Linked DNA regions of Macaca mulatta. The protein of the gene in region 1 binds, or shares a complex with, the protein of each later gene. Links are inferred from orthologs where the notes say so. Each region holds a gene or a part of one and is shown on either strand. Other genes may lie near its edges. The genes, in order: CUL7, OBSL1 and CCDC8.

Region 1 (5,920 bases):
TGATGTTCATGGATGGAGGTGACACAAACCTGGAAGATGAACAGGCTGAGCCAACAGGAGGGGAAGGATGGGGATGGACAGAAGTCTATGGTGTACACGTGGGGCCCAGGAAAATGCTCCTGACTAGAAGCTCCCCACCTGAATCCCCACTACTCACTGGGCCGAGGAGTGGCCGCCACAGGAGGGGGTGCCTCGCAGGGCTCGACATGCACCAGCAGGTGAGTGAGACGGCGCACCCGCGAGAAGAAAGCTGGGCCGCGGCTCTGGGGGTTGAAGACAGCTTCCTGACACTCCAGGTACTGCTCCAGCAGCCAACCCAGGGGGCTAACGCCATCCTCATCTAGAGGGTGAGAAAAACAAACCAAGGCACAGCCATGTCTGCAGGGAAGTGGGAGAGGTTGGGCTGAACAGGAGTGTAGAGATAGAGCAACTGGACGAAATGATACAAGGGAGGGGCCAGGTAGGGTGGTTTATGCCTATAATCCCAGCACTTTGGGAGGTTGAAATGAGAGGAGTTTGAGCCCGGCCTGGTCATCTTTAAAAATAATAAATAAACAAGCTGGGCACAGTGGCTTACACCTGTAATCCCAGTACTTTGGGAGGCCGACGTGGGCAGATCATAAGGTCAGGAGATTGAGACCATCCTGGCTAACACGGTGAAACCCCGTCTCTACTAAAAATACAAAAATAAGCCAGACGTGGTGGCGGGTGCCTGTAATCCCAGCTACTTGGGAGGCTGAGGCCAGAGAATGGCATGAACCTGGGAGGAGGAGTTTGCAGTGAGCCGAGATCACACCACTGCACTCCAGCCTGGGCGATAGAGTGAGACTCCATCTCAAAAAAATAATAATAATAAATAAAAATAATAAACATTAAAAAAAATAGAAAAGGCCAGGCGCGGTGGCACATGCCTATAATCCCAGCACTTTGGGAGGCTGAGGTGGGCGGATCACCTGAGGTCAGGAGTTTCCGAGATCAGCCTCACAACATGGAGAAACTCCATCTCTACTAAAAAATATAAAATCAGCTAGGTGTGGGTCGGGCGCGGTGGCTCACGCCTGTAATCCTAGCACTTTGTGAGACTGAGGCAGGTGGATCACCTGAGGTTGGGGTTCAAGACCAGCCTGACCAACATGGAGAAACCCCATCTCTACTAAAAATCCAAAATTAGCCGGGCATGGTGGCCCATGCCTGTAATCCCAGCTATTTGGGAGGCTGATGCAGGAGAACTGCTTAACCCTGGAGGCGGAGGTTGCAGTGAGCTGAGATTGCGCCATTGCACTCCAGCCTAGGCAATAAGAGCGAAACACTGTCTCAAAAAAATAAAATAAAATAAAATAAAATAAGCCAGGCATGGTGGCACATGCCTGTAATCCCAGCTACTCAGGAGGCTGAGGCAAGAGAATTGCTTGAACCCGGGAGGCAGAGGTTGCGGTGAGCTGAGATCGCGCCATTGCACTGTAGCCTGGGTAACAAGAGCGAAACTCTGTCTCAAAAAAAAAAAGATATGAAAAGAATGATAAGGGAGTGGGTAACAAGGTACCTTCTGCACTTATGGTGTCAGCTGATACTTGAGAGACATAGGAAAGGGGGCAGCCCCTGGGCTATGAGAAGACGGCACTGGGATTACAAATGCAGGTGCCAAAAGGGCCAGAACATAATCCAGGTGGTTCTAGGGTAGAGCAAGAAGGAGCTAATTAGTGGAGCCAAGCCCTGAGATAGTAATGGGTCCAGGTGTTAGGATGGTTACCAGGGGAGGTGATGTTCTGCACCACGGGGCTGACCAGGGCCTCCCAGCAGGTCTTGCCCAGAGCTTGGGCAGCCTCGTCGTCAGGGAGGAAGCGGTCAGCAAAATTCTGCTCCTGGCGCAGGGCCCCGTTCAGTCTGGGGGTGAGAATGGAGGAGGAAGGTGTCAGAGGCTTGAGGTATGTGTTATCTCAGTGTCCACCCTGCCTAAGACTGCCAGTTAACCTCCAGCACCCAAACTGAAGGCCCCCCTGGTACTTCAAAACTGCCCTGTGCTAACTAGTATATCCTATTCCCAGCCCACTGGAGAAATTTCTTCTCTTTATCCTTTCTTCCCCTCCCACAGCTCAGAACACTCCAGCCCCCTCCCCACGCATATTAAACCTCCATCTTATGGCTTAAATGGACCCCTGCCTGCCAGCTATTTGCAATAGCCTTACCTTTCCCACAGACACAGGCATACACGCACACTCTCACACACCTAGAACTCAGGTGCAGGAGGCTCCTGCGGTCCTCTGCCATGTCCTGGCTCCAGGCCTGCGCCCGAACCATGTAGAAGAGGCGTGTGTGACGACAGAGTTGCTCCCGGAACACTGGCCAGAACGTGGGCTTGGGGCCTAGGATCTCTAACCCCCGAATGCGCGTATCAATGCCACCCTGAAACACACACAGGACTATCTTCACTCGCCCCACATGCTCCTTGGGATGGGCTGGGGTCAGCTATGCCCTCGAGCCTCACACCTGGAGCTGCTTGAGACCCAGGCTGGTCTTCTGGCTCAAGATCTGCCCGTTTATGGGATTCAGAGCCCCCTACCCAGGGCCACACCCCACATCCCTAGCCCCACCTGCTGGCAGCGCTTTATGCGGATCTGGATGATGGGCCAGAAGCGGGTCAGGTTCTCCAGGAGGATCACCCGGCTGGCAGAGGGCATCACATTCACCTGGTAGGGGGGCAGAGAAGGCTGTCACTTCTACACGTGCAGATGGGAGTGCTGAGCCAAGTTGGCTCTAGGCTCCAGTCCCCTCACTTGTTTCCTTCCCTTCCCCAGCCCTGGGATGTGTAGGGTCCTGAGAAAGCTATCCTCATTGTCCACCCTCACTGTTTGGGGCCTGGTGGCACAAGCACAGGGATAAAGGACACTACTTTCTGTGGGGCTTAAGACAGGTGGGAGTAGAAAAAAGTAGCATAGGGCCAGATCGAAGCAGGAGGGCAGATCCTGTGAGGGGTGGGGTAATGGCTAATGGCCCTGGGGCCCTACCGAGTTGAGTTCCGTGTGAAGAGAGCTAGCGCTATCACCCCCACACACCACCACTCGGGCCGGCATGTAGCTTGAGTCCTCGCTAGCCACAAGCAGAGTCAGTTGCCTGGGAGTGGGGAGGAAAAACCATTTGGAACTTGCAGACAGGGCCCATGGCCAAGTCCAGGGGGGTGGTGCATCCCCCAAAACAAACACAGGGGCGTCACAGGAAAGCGTAGGTGTGTGGCAAAGCACATGCGTGGGAGCGTTACCTGATGAGGACGCCCTGGTGCATGTGCAGGGTGATGTAGTGGGAGCCGGCGCTGCCGTTGGACTCCCAGTAGGTCTTGGGGTTGTGGTCCGTCAGCTTGCTGGCCCGGTGTGGGTTGGAGGACACCTCCACCTTCTCCCAGCACTTGTCCTCCTTCACTTCCACACTGGAGCCTGGGGGTAAGTGGGAATGGGTGGTGGTCACAGCCAGGTAGGGTGTAAAGAGGAAACAAACATAGGTATGGAGAGGTAGAGCAACAGGGCAACAGGCACGAACCCTGGCATAAGTATCTGAGGAACACATCAAAGAAAGGGATGTTGATGGACCGGTGGGTTCGTCTGTGGTCTTCAATCTGGCCCAGCACCATCTGCGGCCAGAACATCAGAGAGAAGGGGCACGGGGGCAGGAGGAACACGGAGAGACACATGGAAACATGGATGAAGGAGAGACCAAGCAGCAGTGGGACTTCCTCTACAGCACCAGCAGAGCAGGCCCAGACAGGGAAGAGGGGCAGGGAAACAAATGTCCCAGGGTCACTAGAGTCACCTGTTGTTCCCAGCCATGGGAACACAGCCCTTACCCGCCACTGCTTGGGTTTCATATTCTGATGCTGCTCTGAGCCCACAAGCTCCCCTTCCTCCTGACCTGGATGCAGCCTCCCAGGATGTTGGTGATGAGTTTGCGGTAGAGGTGGGCATGCTTCTCACACTTGAACACCATGTCCCGCAGCTCCTGAGCCAGCTCCAGCTTTCCCAGGTGCTTTTCCAGGGCCTTGGAGATGGCGTCTCTTGCTCCCAGCTGATTCAGCACCACGGCATAGTCCCTGCTCACTGAGGTCAGGCGGTGCAGGAAGAAAATCAGTTCCTGGAGCACCTGGGTGGGGACATAAAGGAGGAGATGAATGAAGACAGGGCGAGGGCTGCAAGGGCATCTGCAGTAGCAGGTACCCACTGTGTACTGGGTGCTGGGGGTGCTACAGTGAGCAAGGCAGTGAGGAAATGAAAAGACAGGGATGGGGAGACACAAGAGCCAGGTGGTTAGAGAACTGAAGACAAACCAAAATGGAAAAGGGCACAAGATGCCCTGCTACTCTAGGGTTCTAGGCTGCTGATTATATTGACAAAAACTGCAGAGAGCATCCCTGGGTTCTTTCATCCAGGCCCCACTGTCCCAAAAAACAGTTGTAGGGCTGTATTTTGAGATGTTCAGGCACAGACACCTGGATGGCTGGGAAGGGACTGACAGGGACTGGGTTTGTGCGTATACCCAATGAGCCTGCCTTAGAAAGTAAATTCTACATAACAGCCAAAAATACAGCCACACTGCAAACACCTACTGTCACCATGACCCTAGTTCTCTGAGCCCTTCTGAAGCCTTCTGTGCCCAGGACTTCTCTGTAGCTTTTGCAGGGGACTCTGGTATGTGATGGGCCCTCTGCATCCTTCATCCCCCTTTCTCCCACAGGACCAGCCAAAAATGGAGCTACTGAAGCTCTTAATGTTCTATGTAATAATATCTCCATATCCTTTTGTGTAAAAAAGAGAGTGGCAAGATCACACATTTGGGTTTGCTTATATTTGCATAAGGGAACATGGGAATGATACATAAATTAATACAAGTAATTACCAGTAAGGGGTGTGTGGGGGACACTGGGAGAACAGGGATTTGGGTGAGAGCAAGAATTCTCAGTGTATACCTTGTTAGAGCGTTTTGATTTGTGAACCATGTGAATGTATTACCTATTTAAAAAAAATAAAATTCAATTTTAAAAGCAAAACTCAAAACTAAGAGCCCAAAGGCTCTATCACACCCTCCAGAGCCTTGCCCAGTGGGTGTGCCTTGCCAGTGGCTGCCTTTATCCTCTCCCCCAGCCTCTCCCCAGAGCAAGGCAGGGGTACCTCTCGATCAGTGTTTGGGGACCGCAGGCAGGCCATGCAGGCATCCACGGCCTCGTGCCAGGGGAGCAGCAGTGCCTCAGGGAAGTCTACCAGCTGCTTCAGGATTCTGGGGGCAGAGAAATGTGCAGCCAGCCTCATAGACCCCCTTTGCCCTCAGAGATCCCACCTGTCACCACGGTCTTACCTCAGCACAGTCAGGTGCAGGGCCCTGTTAGTCTCTGGAGTGTCCAGGCTCTGCATCAGTGCCAGGAAGGGCTGGGGCTGCCGCTGCAGCTGCAGCAGGAGTGGCTTGACCTTGTTCTCCTGCGTCCCCTCCGAGCTGAGGGCTTGCTCTAGATCCAGGAGGATTTTCCCAGCTGGACCATAATCCTCCACGAGATGCTGCAGGGGAGTGTTGGGACTCTGAGATGGGGGTTCTTTTGCTACAGGAAGAGGAGAGTCACAGGAATTGGCCATTGTTAGTAATGTGAAGGCTCAGAAATAGATTCATAACTCTCAATCTTTTTCTCTAATTTCTCCTAAAAAATGTTTTAAATTTTTTTTTTTTTTTTTTTGAGACAGAGTCTGGCTCTGTCGCCCAGGCTGGAGTGCAGTGACCGGATCTCAGCTCACTGCAAGCTCCGCCTCCCGGGTTCACGCCATTCTCCTGCCTCAGCCTCCCGAGTAGCTGGGACTACAGGCGCCCGCCACCTCGCCTGGCTAATTTTTTGTATTTTTTAGTAGAGATGGGGTTTCACCGTGTCAGCCAGGATGGTCTCGATCTCCTG
Region 2 (6,686 bases), on another chromosome or scaffold:
GGAGTCTAGCTCTGTGGCCCAGGCTGGAGTGCAGTGGCGCCATCTCGGCTCACTGCAACCTCCGCCTCCCGCTCTGCCTCCCGGGTTCAAGCAATTCTCCTGCCTCAGCCTCGCGAGTAGCTGGTGCCACCATGCCTGGCTCATTTTCTGTATTTTTAGTAGAGACGGGGTTTCACCATGTTAGCCAGGATAGTCTCGATCTCCTGACCTTGTGATCCTCCTGCCTTGGCCTCCCAAAGTGCTGGGATTACAGGTGTGAGCCACCGCGCCCGGCCCATATTACTCTTTATATCTTTGGCATGTCAGGAATATTATATAATAAATTCTTTAAAATAATTCCATTTTTAAAAGACAAGTTTACACCAAAAAAAAAAAAAAAAAAAAGAAGAAGGAGGAGGGAAAGGCGAGTGGGAAGGAAGAAAATGGAGAACAAGGAGGAGGGGGAAGAGGAGGAGGGCTGTAACTCAGAACAGAGGGGAGTCCTTTCAAGAATGTGTAGTTGGCATCCTCACACTGACACACTCATAGACTATACTAATCATCCTGGAGCAGCACCCGCTGATGGACTGGCAAGTGGAACTATACTGTTACATGGCTTCTTTCATTATCTAGTCACAATTGGTCCATTTTGCAGGTACGGAAATTGAGGCTTAGAGAGGTGAAATGACGTTCAACGACTAAGTGGCCAGACTGGAATTTTGCCTGATCCCAAAGCCATCCTTCTCCCCACTGTGCTGCTAACGGACCAAAGTGAGGGAGGCAGGGGTCCTCTCTTAAGAGAAAGGTGGACCAGATGACAAGAAAGCCCACCCGGAGGAGGGCTTATCCATCCAGTCAGTGAAACAAGGGGACGCACATATGTCGAGACAGGAACTCAAGAGAAGATAGACTAGTTTTCCAGAAAAGTTTCCCAACTAATCTTTTGCCTGTATCTCTGATAGCTTCTCAGTCTCAGCTACCTGGGAGTAAAGAAACAGGGTCTGGAGCAGCGAGCAGAGGCAGAGATAGGAGGAAAGGTGGCAGGAAGGGGCCCAAGCCCAGACATCTCCATCTCTAGAGACCCCTGGTCTCCCAGCGCATACCTCCCAAATGCCTCCCACCTGCCATGCACTCTAGGTACAGCCTCTCACTTAATCCTGAGAGGTTGGCGTTATCACGCATTTTACAGATTGGGAGACAAGAGGCATAAGGAGGTTTAATAACTGGCCTATTGTTGCAAAGCCACTGAGTGGTAGGGCTGGGATTCAAACCCAGGTCCACCTGGCCCGCAAACCCATGCTGTGCCTTGCTGCTTCTCAAAGTCACCCTGCCAGTTCCCCCACCTCGTTACCTGTGGCTGGGAAAAGGATGGCCTGGGAGACATCCTCCTCCTCCGTGGGCTCAGAGCCCCTGCGTGTGAAGCCCCCCAGGGCATGTCTTCGGAGCAGCCGCCTGACTCCAGGGTCCCCACCTTCCCTGGTCACCACGGGGGACCCCAAGGCATCCAGGAACAGGGCCCTCACCTTGGCCAGAACAAGCTCCCGGGCCAGCTCCGGCCCTTGGCAGCTGTGACCACCCTGTGGGGCCAGCAGCAAGAAGAGCAGTAGGGGCAGCACCATAGCTCACCTGGCCCTGCTAGCGGGGAACCCACACCCTCCCCCGTGCCCTTTCTGCCAGGGTCTGCCCAGGGCAGCTCCACTCTCCCCTCCCCATCCCACACCCACCCTCTTCTACCCTTCTCACCCAGTCTTCTCCAGTCCTTTCCACGCCCCACAGTCCGAGTTGCCCCTGCCCGTGGCATTGAAACCTCCTATCTCTGACGCAGATGTCTGTGGCCATGAGCCTTATCTCCCACTCCCGCCAGCGATGTTGGGGAGGGACTGGGGAGGATTTCGCCCCAAGCGACCTGACTCATACAAGCAAACATTACAACCCCTTCTCCTACACACACACACACACACACACACATACACTCTCACACACACACACACGCACTCTCTCACACACACACACACATCCAGAGGTTTACATCAGGTGGGACAGGAGCCTGGGAGCTGCAGCCGGCCAGCCCCGGAAAGTGTCATTTGTCAGGGAGACACAGTGCACCACCCCTCAGACCTTCTGGGGCCCCTTTCAATAAGCAGCTGCTGGGCCGGCCAGCCCTTGGGGGAAGGGCTGGAGCCGGGGCTAGAACCGGGGCTAGGGCCGGGGGCAGGTGGTCCTGCCTGCTCTATACTTAGCCCAGTGGAGCCAGTCTGGGCTCTTGTCCTCCAGCTGTGTCATCAGAGAATATTTTTGGGATTGGCAGCTGCAGGCGCCTCTGCCACTCAGGCCCAAGCCTGGCGGGAGGCTAGGGACCTGGCGGCTGGAGGTGGGAGGGAGGAGGGGGAAGAGGCCCAAGCTGTGGGAGGGGGCTGGGAAGAGAGGCTCCCAAGAGCAGGAAGCCAGGCAGCGGGCAGGAGAGGCTGCGGGGCCCCTCGCTGGAGAGGCAAACAGGAAGGACTGCCCCCTGAGCGCCAGGCTTCGGCCCGGGAATCGCCGCCGCCGCCGCCGCAGAGCTGCAGCTTGGGGCCGAGGGTAAGGAGGCGAGCCGGGAGCAGGAGGCCCGGGAGAGCTTCGCGGGTACCCGCGCCTGGTCCGCAGCCGCGCCCCGGCCCCGCCGCCCCTGGCCTCGGCTCGCCCTCGGCCCACCCTCCCCGTTGGCCGCTGCAGGCGGTCTGAGACAGCTGCGATGAAGGCGAGCTCAGGGGACCAGGGGAGCCCCCCGTGCTTCCTGCGCTTCCCGCGGCCGGTGCGGGTGGTAAGTGGCGCCGAGGCGGAACTCAAGTGCGTGGTCCTGGGGGAGCCGCCACCGGTAGTGGTGTGGGAGAAGGGCGGGCAGCAGCTGGCGGCCTCGGAACGCCTGAGTTTCCTGGCGGACGGCGCGGAGCACGGCCTGCTGCTGAGCACCGCACTGCCTACCGACGCCGGGGTCTACGTGTGCCGCGCCCGCAACGCGGCGGGCGAGGCCTACGCGGCGGCCGCTGTCACCGTGCTGGAGCCACCGGCCTCCGAGCCCGAGCCGCAGCCCGCCGAGCGCCCGCTGCCACCGCCGGGGTCCGGGGAGGGCGCCCCGGTCTTCCTCACGGGGCCCCGATCCCAGTGGGTGCTAAGGGGGGTGGAGGTGGTGCTGACGTGCCGGGCGGGGGGCCTCCCTGAGCCCACGCTGTACTGGGAGAAGGACGGGATGGCCCTGGACGAAGTGTGGGACAGCAGCCACTTCGCGCTCGAGCCCGGCCGCGCCGAGGAGGGCCCCGGCGCGAGCCTGGCGCTGCGCATCCTGGCAGCTCGGCTGCCGGACTCCGGCGTCTACGTGTGCCACGCCCGCAACGCGCACGGCCACGCGCAGGCGGGGGCGCTGCTCCAGGTGCACCAGCCCCCTGAGAGCCCGCCCTCGGACCCCGACGAGGCCCCCGCGCCCGTGGTGGAGCCGCTCAAGTGCGCTCCTAAGACTTTCTGGGTAAATGAGGGCAAGCACGCCAAGTTCCGCTGCTACGTGATGGGCAAGCCCGAGCCCGAGATCGAATGGCACTGGGAGGGCCGCCCGCTGCTCCCGGACCGCCGCCGCCTCATGTACCGCGACCGCGACGGCGGCTTCGTGCTCAAGGTGCTCTACTGCCAGGCCAAGGACCGTGGGCTCTACGTCTGCGCCGCGCGCAACTCGGCAGGCCAGACGCTCAGCGCGGTGCAGCTGCACGTGAAAGGTACGGCGGCGCCCGGGGCCTGGGGAGGGGCCTCTCGTGTCCTCCGAGGCCCTCCGAACACCAGCCCTCCTCGGTGCGCAGCACTGCCCCGAAGACTGGAGGAGAGGAGGTCCGCGGCAATATTAAAATATCAAACCCGCCCGCCTCCCGCTCTCCAGGGATTCGGATTTACTAGGTCTCCCGGGTACTCAGGAACTTCTTAGCAAACTCCCCAAAAGATTCCGAGGCAGATGGTGGAACACCACTAAGGAGTGATTGATGTACAAACCTGGAGGGCGGTAGAACTCTTCTCCCCTAGTGGTTTTCAACGTCTTTGTTATTTTACTTCTCCTTCCCCAACTGAATTCACAACCAGAGTCCCAATATATGAGACAGATAAAGGAGTATTTTGTGGGCCTAAATTGCTAAGTCTGCTTGTATAACAGGTACTTCTAAAGCATCAGTGAGAATAAGGAGGCTATTTTATTGAATACAGGCATTTGAAGTGAAGACTGCATTCATGAGTCCAGGCTCTGAACCCTGTGGGAACAGCCTGGGTGCGTCTGTCACCTTGAGAAACAAGTGATTCAGTAGAAAGCTAGACAAGGGAGGACAAATGTCCTGTGTGTTTTTACTGTTCTTTGATTAAACTACTCCCCACGTTTGCAAGAAGAGGAAGGTGAAGGAGAGAAGGTTTATATTTCAATGTTGAATCACCAACAATATCCAATAAACGCTTACATTCTCATAAACAGAAAATTCAAAGGGAAAAAAAAAAGCACACCCCAAACTCACCATTAGGTAACGCTCCCCATAATAGGATTTCATCACAATGCAAAGGATTATACCTTCACTAGTTATTGTCCAGATTTTTCTCTTGGAGGAAAAAAAAGTTGGTAAATTCTCCTGAGTCCTGCCTGGCACGCAGTCAAGGATGTGGCCCCTGGGCTGCGGTGGTGGCCTCGCTGGTACAGTTCAATGCACACAGATTTGTCAGGCTGGTGCTGATCTGGACCTCCATCAGGAAAGAAAAGCCCCGAGGGAAGGCTGGAGGAGCTTCCCAGAGTTGGATACACACACACTGAAACTTGCTTCTCCAGCAGCCTGAGTTAATTCTCTAGTTTCTAACATCCTGTTTTCTTTTCTTTCTTTCTTTCTTTTTTTTTTTGAAATACACTTTTGAAAGGGGTTAAAATAGCCAGGCGAGGTGGCTCACTCCTGTAATCTCACCACTTTGGGAGGCTGAGGCAGGAGGATCACCTGAGGTCAGGAGTTCGAGAACAACCTGGCCAACATGGCGAAACCCTTTTTCTACTAAAAATACAAAATAATTAGCTGGGCGTGGTGGCACGTGCCTGTAATCCCAGCTACTTGAGAGGCTGAGGCACCAGAATTGCTTGAACCAGGGAGGTAGAGGTTGCAGTGAGCCAAGATTGCACCACTACACTCCAGCCAGGGCAAGAGAGCGAGACTCCATCTCAAAAAAAAAAAAAAAAAAAGAAAAGAAGAAAAAAAGAAAAGCGTTAAAATATTTTAAATTCTACTCAGACCCTTGTGGAATATGTGAAATGCCTGGGGCGGGGGGGCCTAGGGAACGATTTGAAAATCACCAGTCTAGGGCCTAGAGGATCCCAGAGAACAGTTTGGAAATCATCAATCTGATCCAACCCCTTTTGTCCCTTTCCCCATTTTACAAGTAAGGAGACTGAGGCCCAGAAGCGTTGAAATGGACTTGCTCAAGGTGATGTGGCTAGTGTCAGGGCTGGATGAGAACTTAGGTCATCTTAGGAACCACCACTTCCCTTCTGGTAGTTTTCTGTGATTCCACAGTGCCCGCTGGCTCTGCATAAAGAGCACATGGCATGAGCTAATGCGATTTGAGGCGTCCTACACCTAGTCTGGCCCTTCTCCAGAGCCCTCTCTTGTCTCTCCCCTCTCCACAGAGCCCCGCCTCCGGTTCACACGGCCCCTGCAGGATGTGGAGGGCCGTGAGCACGGGATTGCCGTGCTGGAGTGTAAAGTACCCAACTCCCGCATCCCCACGGCCTGGTTCCGTGAGGACCAGCGGCTGCTGCCCTGCCGCAAGTATGAGCAGATCGAAGAGGGCACTGTCCGGCGTCTCATCATCCACAGGCTGAAGGCAGACGATGATGGTGTCTACCTGTGCGAGATGCGGGGCCGGGTGCGCACCGTGGCCAACGTCACAGTCAAAGGTCAGCTGGTTCATGGGGAAGAGGCTGAGGCGGAGGCAGGCAGGTGCTCAGATTCCAGGCTGATGGATTCCCGTCGGCATCTCAGGGCCCATCCTGAAGCGCCTGCCCCGGAAGCTCGATGTCCTGGAAGGAGAGAACGCGGTGCTGCTGGTGGAAACTCTAGAGGCTGGAGTTGAGGGACGCTGGAGCCGTGATGGGGAGGAGCTGCCAGTCATCTGCCAGAGCAGCTCGGGCCACATGCATGCCCTGGTCCTTCCAGGGGTCACCCGAGAAGATGCTGGCGAGGTTACCTTTAGCCTGGGCAACTCCCGTACCACTACGCTGCTCAGAGTCAAATGTGAGGGCAGGAAGGCCTCTGGACAGGCAGGGCAGGGCAAAAGGTTGGCCAGATGCCACAGCTGGGTTGGTGAAGTAGATTTAAGGTGGAAGGGCTGTGGAGGCCCGAGCAAGGCCGGAACACATCCCTGCCTTGGTCTCAGGTGTCAAGCACAGTCCTCCAGGACCCCCTGTATCAGCAGAGATGTTCAAGGGCCACAAGAACACGGTCCTGCTGACCTGGAAGCCTCCCGATCCAGCTCCCGAGACCCCATTCATCTACCGGCTGGAGCGGCAGGAGGTGGGCTCTGAAGACTGGATTCAGTGCTTCAGCATCGAGAAAGCCGGGGCCGTGGAGGTGCCGGGCGACTGTGTGCCCTCCGAGGGTGACTACCGCTTCCGCATCTGCACAGTCAGCGGACATGGCCGTAGTCCCCACGTGGTGTTCCATGGTTCT
Region 3 (6,517 bases), on another chromosome or scaffold:
CTTAGGCCAGGCCTGCAACCAGTTAGGACGACAGACTGGCCCCTGGACCTCCATGAACTCCCTTTTCTCCTGCCCTCAGCAAGGCTCGAGTCTGGTCATTTGCTGTTTTTCACTGCTGGGGGTTGTGGGGACACAAGGCAATACAGAGAGAGGCCCCCAGCTTCCTCCCAACCTCCACAGGGCCTTAGCAACCCAATTTCTTCCCAATCATAGGAAGCAGTTGGCTGGGCGCAGTGGCTCATGCCTGTAATCCCAGCACTTTGGGAAGCCGAAGTGGGCGGATCAGTTGAGGTTAGGAGTTCAAGACAGGCTTGGCCAACATGGTGAAACCCCATCTCTACTAAAAATACAAAAATTAACCAGGTGTGGTGGCACACGCCTGTAGTCCCAGCTACTCGGGAGGCTGAGGGAGGAGAATCACTTGAACCCGGGAGGCGGAGGTTGCAATGAACCGAGATCGCGCCACCATACTCCAGCCTAGTGACAGAGACTCCATCTCAAAAAAAAAGAACCAGCAGCAGCAATTAATGCACAAGCAATTAATGCACAATACACACAGCCTTTTTTTTTTTTTTTTTTTTTTGAGACAGAGTCTCACTCTGTCACTAGGCTGGAGTGCAATGGTGCGATCTCGGCTCACCGCAACCTCCACCTTCCGGGTTCAAGAGATTCTCCTGCCTCAGCCTCCCGAGTAGCTGGGACTACAGGCGTGCACCACCAGGCCAGGCTAATTTTTGTATTTTTAGTAGAGACAGGGTTTCACCATGTTGGCCAGGATGGTCTTGATCTCTTGACCTTGTATCCACCCGCCTCGGCCTCCCTAAGTGCTGGGATTACAGGTGTGAGCCACCACGTCCGGCCAACCACAGCCCCTCTTTTAGGCCTTTTCTTATTGCAATGAGTTTTCAATGTGTCCAATGGCCGAATTGCCCAGATGTTTGGAAGCTTGATGCAAACAGAATTCAGAGCCACACAGGCACCGCTAGCAAATCCACATCTCTGATGCTGAGGGCCCCAGAATCTGTGTTTTGAACGCATTTTTCAGATGCTTTTACTGTACCTTACAACCAAGATCGGGAGAGGTATGCAAACCAAGGGCCCTGTCCCCTCCAAAGCAGCAGAGTCCAGGGGCATGAGGATGGCAAGCGAAGTGACAACATAAACACAGGTGTCTCCATCTTCAAGGATGGGAGTAGAACGGACAGGAAGGGCCGGGTCACCCCCAGAGCATTCGTCAGTTGCCAAGTCCAAAGCTAAGAAACCAGTTCATAAATGTTTTTTTATTTGCATGTTGGCTCAAGTCCTCTTTTTAAGTCCAAGGAGGCAGTCCACGTTAAGTGTGCAGGCAAAAAAGGGACAGGAAAAGCAGGCAATTTCTCCCCTGCCCTCCCGCTCTCCTTTTATCAAGCTGAGCACCTTGAGTTGCATTTGAGGAAATTAAAACTATAGGTGACAGAACCCCCTTGTATCGAATTCTTTCTTTACATTTTTTGGGTTGCTACAAGGAATCACTATATATATGTATATATGTATATATATATATATATTTTATCAGGTGGTACGTGTGGTGGCTCACACCTGTCATCCCAGCACTTTGGGAGGCCGAGGCAGGAGGATCACTTGAGGCCAGAAGTTTGAGGCTGCAGTGATCATGCCACTGCACTCCAGCCTGGGCAACAGAGTGAGACCCTGTCTCTAAAAAATTTTTTAAAAATCAACGCATGAGACAAAACTTTAACAAGAGAATAAAGAGGGTTGTAAGGTGGAGATGTGGGCAGCACTCCAACTCCACTTTCAAGTTCAGAGGCAGAAAGAGCAACTTTCTCTCCCACGCTTGTAGGGAGGGCCCGTGGGCTGTCTCTAGCCCTCACCTCACAGCTGGTCTTCTCGCTCTCCCTGTTCAGCTTCTGCTCTGGCCTCGGCCCTCAGCACCCTGAGGCTCCTGGCCTCGCCTGCCCTGGGGACTCTCTTGGGCAGGGTTGGCAACCGGGGAGTGTGCCAGAAGGCTCTCCGGGGCTTGCGAAACCACGAAAAGCGTCCAGGGGTCTGGAACCTCACTGTCTTGACCTGTTTCCGGGCCCTGGCTCCTGAAGCTGTTCCTGTGGCCCCTTGGGTAGCTGAGGCTTCAGCTTCCTGGATACCTGGGGCCCCTGCCGTCTGATTATGTGCAGCCTCTGCCCTTTGGCCAGCCCGGGCCTGTGCCCTCTGATTACCTGCACCCTGGACAGCTGGGGCCCTTTCCCTCTGGTCATGTATGGCCTCTTCCCTTCGAGGATCTGTAGCCTCTGACCCCTGGTCAGCTAGAGCCTCTTCCCTCAGGTTATCTGCACCCTGTGGCCTATGGTCAGCTGGGGCCTCTGCCCTCTGATTATCTGCAGCCTCTTCCCCATGGTTATCTGCAGCCTCTGCCCCCTGGTCAGCTGGGGCCCCTGCCCTCTGATTACCTGCAGCCTCTTCCCTCTGGTCAGCTATGGCCTCTTCCCTCTGATTATCTGCAGCCTCTTCCCTATGGTTATCTGCATCCTCTGCCCCCTGGTCAGCTGGGGCCCCTGCCCTCTGATTACCTGCAGCCTCTTCCTCCTGGTCAGCTATGGCCTCTTCCCTCTGATTATCTGCAGCCTCTTCCCCCTGATCAGCCTCGATGTCTGCCCCCCGACCTGTGGGCGCTGTCTGCTCCTTCCTGCGGCGCCTAAACGAGGCCCAGTTGATCTTGGGCCTCCATCGCCTAGGGGAGGCCTGCGGGGCACAGACATCTCCCACATTTTCCACAGGATCCCCGGGATCCCCCGGGCTGGTGCCGGAGGATACCCCTGCGCTCTCCACTGGGATGGAGGCCAGCCGGGCCTCGCCCACCCCGGGGCCCGCCCTCGGCGCCCAACCCTTCACCCTCCGCTTCAGCTTCCCCCAGGACACCTGGCTGACATACTCCCGCCACCTGTCCGCCTTGGACAGCTGAGGCCCCAGGTTGTCCTCAAACATGGGCACTGGCAGGTTGACGCGGCGGCGGGCAGGCGGCGCGGGGGGCTGCTTCTCCTGTCGCCGGAGAAATGCCTCCACCAGTTCCTCATCATCCTCGCTCTCCACGTCGCTTCCCAGGAACTTGCTGCCCAGGTAGCTGACGGGCATTTTGCGCACCTTCTTGCCCCGCCGCGGGCCCTGGCGGCTCTTGTCTCTGGAGGTCTCGAAGTCGCTGAACTCGCTGTCGCTGGCGTTGCTGCTGTCATACGTGCCCACGACCAGCCGGGGCGTAGGAGTCACCATCTGCTGCACTCTCCTCCTCACTCGGGGCTCCTTGGGCTTTTTGGGGGGCTGGGGCGGGTGCGGGGTGCTCTTCTCGATGATGCGGGCCACGTCCTCCAGGGTGCGGCCCTGTTCTTCCAGGAACTGGGTCAGCCGCTCCCGAAATTCTGCTTCCTTGGTGGCAGGCTTAGAGATGACTCTCCAGACGCCCCCGGCCAGCCTGACCTCCCGGGGGATGAGCAAATAGTCGACGTCCTCCCCGATCTGCAGCATCCCCACCGTGGAGTCCTCCTCCTTGCGGAACACCTTGCCGATCTTCTTAAATGTTCCCACGGGTTTTAGGGCTTCCACGAGGACGTCCAAATCCACATCTTTGCAGACATCGGGGACGCTCCAAAGAATGAGGCAGTCGGGGGACGGGAGGAAGCCCCAGGGGAACCAGCCCCCCACGTGGCTTTTCTCGAGAGTCTTTAAGATCTCCAGGGTGATATCTGGGGTGAGGGAGCAAAGAGCCCCAACAAACTACTGTAGCCCTTAGTCTTGAGGGAGGGACTGGATGGGGGGAGTCCCAGCAACGCTGACCGCAGAGTCTCACCTCCCCAGCCAGGGACGAGTCAACGCCTCCAATCTCTTCTCCTGCAACAAGTCCAGTCTTGACCAAGTCCGGCTCCTCCACCAAGGACTTGGGAGAATCAATTTCCAGGATGCCTACGTGAGCCGGAGGCGAGGTCAGTCCCAAGGTTCAAGGCCCACTCCAAGCTGGAAACGTGGTGTCCCAGCTCCAAGTTGGGGCGCGCGGGCTGCCAGCGATTCTTCCTGCCCCAGGCCCCTGGGACGCGGTTGGAACTTGGGAGAGGACTTCGCAGACAAAGACGGTCCAGTCGAGGCTATTCAATATGGCGGAGGCGCTGAGAGGCCTCAGCCCGGCCCCCCAGTAGGGTCCCCCGCCCCCAGGCAGGCCACCACCCAGCTCCAGGCTGACCTTGACGCGCCGCAGCCTGCCAGCCCGCGCGCTTAGGGCTCTGCACGGTGGAGCGCACCAGCAGGAAGTTCCTCCTTGCCCTCCGCCAGAATGAGGCCCACCTTCCCCCGTCTCATCTTACACTCCCAGACTCTGGAAGACTGACAGGGGGGCTGTCCACTCCCTTCGGGGCAGCCTCCTTCCCCTCCCCCACAGGGGTGTGGCCGCGCCTGGGGCCTAGCTGGGCCCATTGCTTCCCAGCGAAGCGGCGGTGGCCCACGTCAGCACCTTTGCTGAAAGGCAGCGGTTCCCAAACCTGCCATCCGAAATGTACAAGTTTCCAGCCAAGTCCTGGAGGTGGGTGTGCCAGTGGATTCTACCTTTTGAGAGCCACTGGCACCATAGATTAGCATTTTAAATTCACGCGACTATCCGTACCCGTACACCCAGACGCGTGGGTAGAGAAATGGGTACCGGGATCTTATTGCAACAGTCCCCCTGTGACGCTTGGCAGGAGGTCAGGGCTCTACATATTTTTGAGTGGATGAATAAACCTGAATGTTCATAGCCAGGCGCGGTGGCTCATGCCTGTAATCCCAGCACTTTGGGAGGCCTAGGCGGGTGGAACACTTGGAGGCCAGGAGTTCGAGACCAGCCTGGCCAACATGGTGAAACCCTCGTCTCTACAAAAAATACAAAAATTAGCCGGGTGTGGTGGTGTGCGTGTGTAGTCCCAGCTACACGGGAGGCTGAGGCAGGAGAATGGCATGAACCCGGGAGGTGGAGGTTGCAGAGATGGCGCCACTGCACTCCAGCCTGGGCAACAGAGGGAGACTCTGTCTCAAAAAAACAAAAACAAAACAAACAAACAAACAAAAAAAGCCAAAAAACAAAACCAAAAAAACCCCACAAATAAACAACAACAAAAAAGCCTAAAAGTTCATGAGTAGATACTGCCTCTATTTTATGGTAGTATCTTACAGTGAAATATTTTGCAACTTTGAAAAAAGAATGAGATGGCTAAGGATAGGCACGGTTTATGAGGCGCTTCCTGTGTAGTAGGCACCATTCCCAGTGCTTTCTATGAATGAACTCAGGAAATCCTTGCTATAGCAGGAGACTGGTAGCATGAGTACAACTCCCATTAGACAGCTGAAGAAACTGATGCCCAAGGACATAAAACCACTCTTTCAAGGTCACAGCCAGGGGGAGTGGTTGAGTTTGGATTTGAATCCAGAATAGTCTGCCTTTTGTGCCCACCAAAGAGTCAAGATGGCTGGGCATGGTGGCTCACGCCTGTAATCCCAGCACTTTGGGAGGCCAAGGCAGGCGGATTCCGAGGTCAGGAGATCAAGACCATCCTGGCTACCGTGGTGAAACCCCGTCTCTACTAAAAATACAAAAAAATTAGCCAGGTGTGGTGGTATGTGCCTGTAGTCCCAGCTACTCTGGAAGCTGAGGCAGGAGAATCTCTTGAACCCGGGAGGCCGAGGTTGCAGTGAGCCGAGATCGCACTACTGCACTCCAGCCTGGGCAACAGAGCGAGACTCCATGTAAAAAACAAACAAACAAACAAAAAAAAAACACACACACACACACACAGTCAAGATGTGGACCAATGCTAGTAAGCTCGGTTCTTGAGACGCGAGTCTACCGAAGCTCCCGGCAGTAGAGAGGCGAGTCTGCTGAAGCTCCCGTCGGAATAAAGCCAAATCCTTCCTTAACCCGGTGTTTGAGGGGTTTTGTCGGAAGCTCCTCCTGCTACAGTACTTGCGACTAGGATTGGTCCACATCTTTGGAACCAGGCATCAAGAGATATGCTGAATAGGCCTCCTTGTTAGGAATTCTGAGAGGTAGGTACATGGTAATAAGGCCAGTGCCATCAATCATCTTTTTACAGATGGGGAAACTGAGGCCGGTCTGAAGTTGCACAGCTCCGAGTGGTGGATCTAATATTAGAACCAGATCTTGGGCACTAGCATAAACAGTAGCAGACGCTAAAGACACAGCTAATCTCATTCTCCTAAATGCGTTGAACCATTTAACCCCTTAACAGCCATAATACTTGCAGGCTGTCTTGCCTGGATGTGTACAAATCCCCCTGACTGGGCTCCCTGCCTCCCCATCACTGCTTGCAATCCAGGCCCCACCCAGAAGCTGGGGGCATCTTTTAAAAACTTAGGTCCCATCTGTCTCTACTCTTTTGAAAATTCTCCATCTCAGGCTGGGCGCCATGGCTCACGCCTTTAATCCCAGCAGTTTGGGAGGCTGAGGCCGGTGGATCACCTGAGGTCAGGAGTTTGAGACCAGCCTGGC

The links.
Region 2: CUL7 (region 1) and OBSL1 share a complex: the UniProt entries of both Homo sapiens proteins name them as parts of the 3M complex. The link is inferred for Macaca mulatta from reciprocal best matches to the Homo sapiens genes CUL7 and OBSL1.
Region 3: CUL7 (region 1) and CCDC8 share a complex: the UniProt entries of both Homo sapiens proteins name them as parts of the 3M complex. The link is inferred for Macaca mulatta from reciprocal best matches to the Homo sapiens genes CUL7 and CCDC8.

What each region holds. Positions count from the first base shown.
Region 1 is NC_133409.1:139,081,104-139,087,023, reverse strand, and holds part of CUL7 (cullin-7), read right to left. Parts: intron 5,576-5,920; coding exon 5,338-5,575; intron 5,260-5,337; coding exon 5,154-5,259; intron 4,129-5,153; coding exon 3,901-4,128; intron 3,623-3,900; coding exon 3,532-3,622; intron 3,429-3,531; coding exon 3,257-3,428; intron 3,112-3,256; coding exon 3,006-3,111; intron 2,688-3,005; coding exon 2,592-2,687; intron 2,404-2,591; coding exon 2,228-2,403; intron 1,885-2,227; coding exon 1,751-1,884; intron 341-1,750; coding exon 158-340; intron 1-157. UniProt on the Homo sapiens protein: Core component of the 3M and Cul7-RING(FBXW8) complexes, which mediate the ubiquitination and subsequent proteasomal degradation of target proteins. Core component of the 3M complex, a complex required to regulate microtubule dynamics and genome integrity.
Region 2 is NC_133417.1:124,809,489-124,816,174, reverse strand, and holds the start of OBSL1 (obscurin-like protein 1), read left to right. Parts: upstream 1-2,411; 5' UTR 2,412-2,710; coding exon 2,711-3,722; intron 3,723-5,644; coding exon 5,645-5,914; intron 5,915-5,999; coding exon 6,000-6,251; intron 6,252-6,393; coding exon 6,394-6,686. Other genes in the region: INHA (inhibin alpha chain precursor), read right to left, coding at 1,331-1,598. UniProt on the Homo sapiens protein: Core component of the 3M complex, a complex required to regulate microtubule dynamics and genome integrity. It is unclear how the 3M complex regulates microtubules, it could act by controlling the level of a microtubule stabilizer.
Region 3 is NC_133424.1:58,899,011-58,905,527, forward strand, and holds the start of CCDC8 (coiled-coil domain-containing protein 8), read right to left. Parts: upstream 3,650-6,517; 5' UTR 3,514-3,649; coding exon 1,873-3,513; 3' UTR 1,689-1,872; exon of another isoform or gene 1,262-1,688; intron 200-1,261; exon of another isoform or gene 1-199. UniProt on the Homo sapiens protein: Core component of the 3M complex, a complex required to regulate microtubule dynamics and genome integrity. It is unclear how the 3M complex regulates microtubules, it could act by controlling the level of a microtubule stabilizer.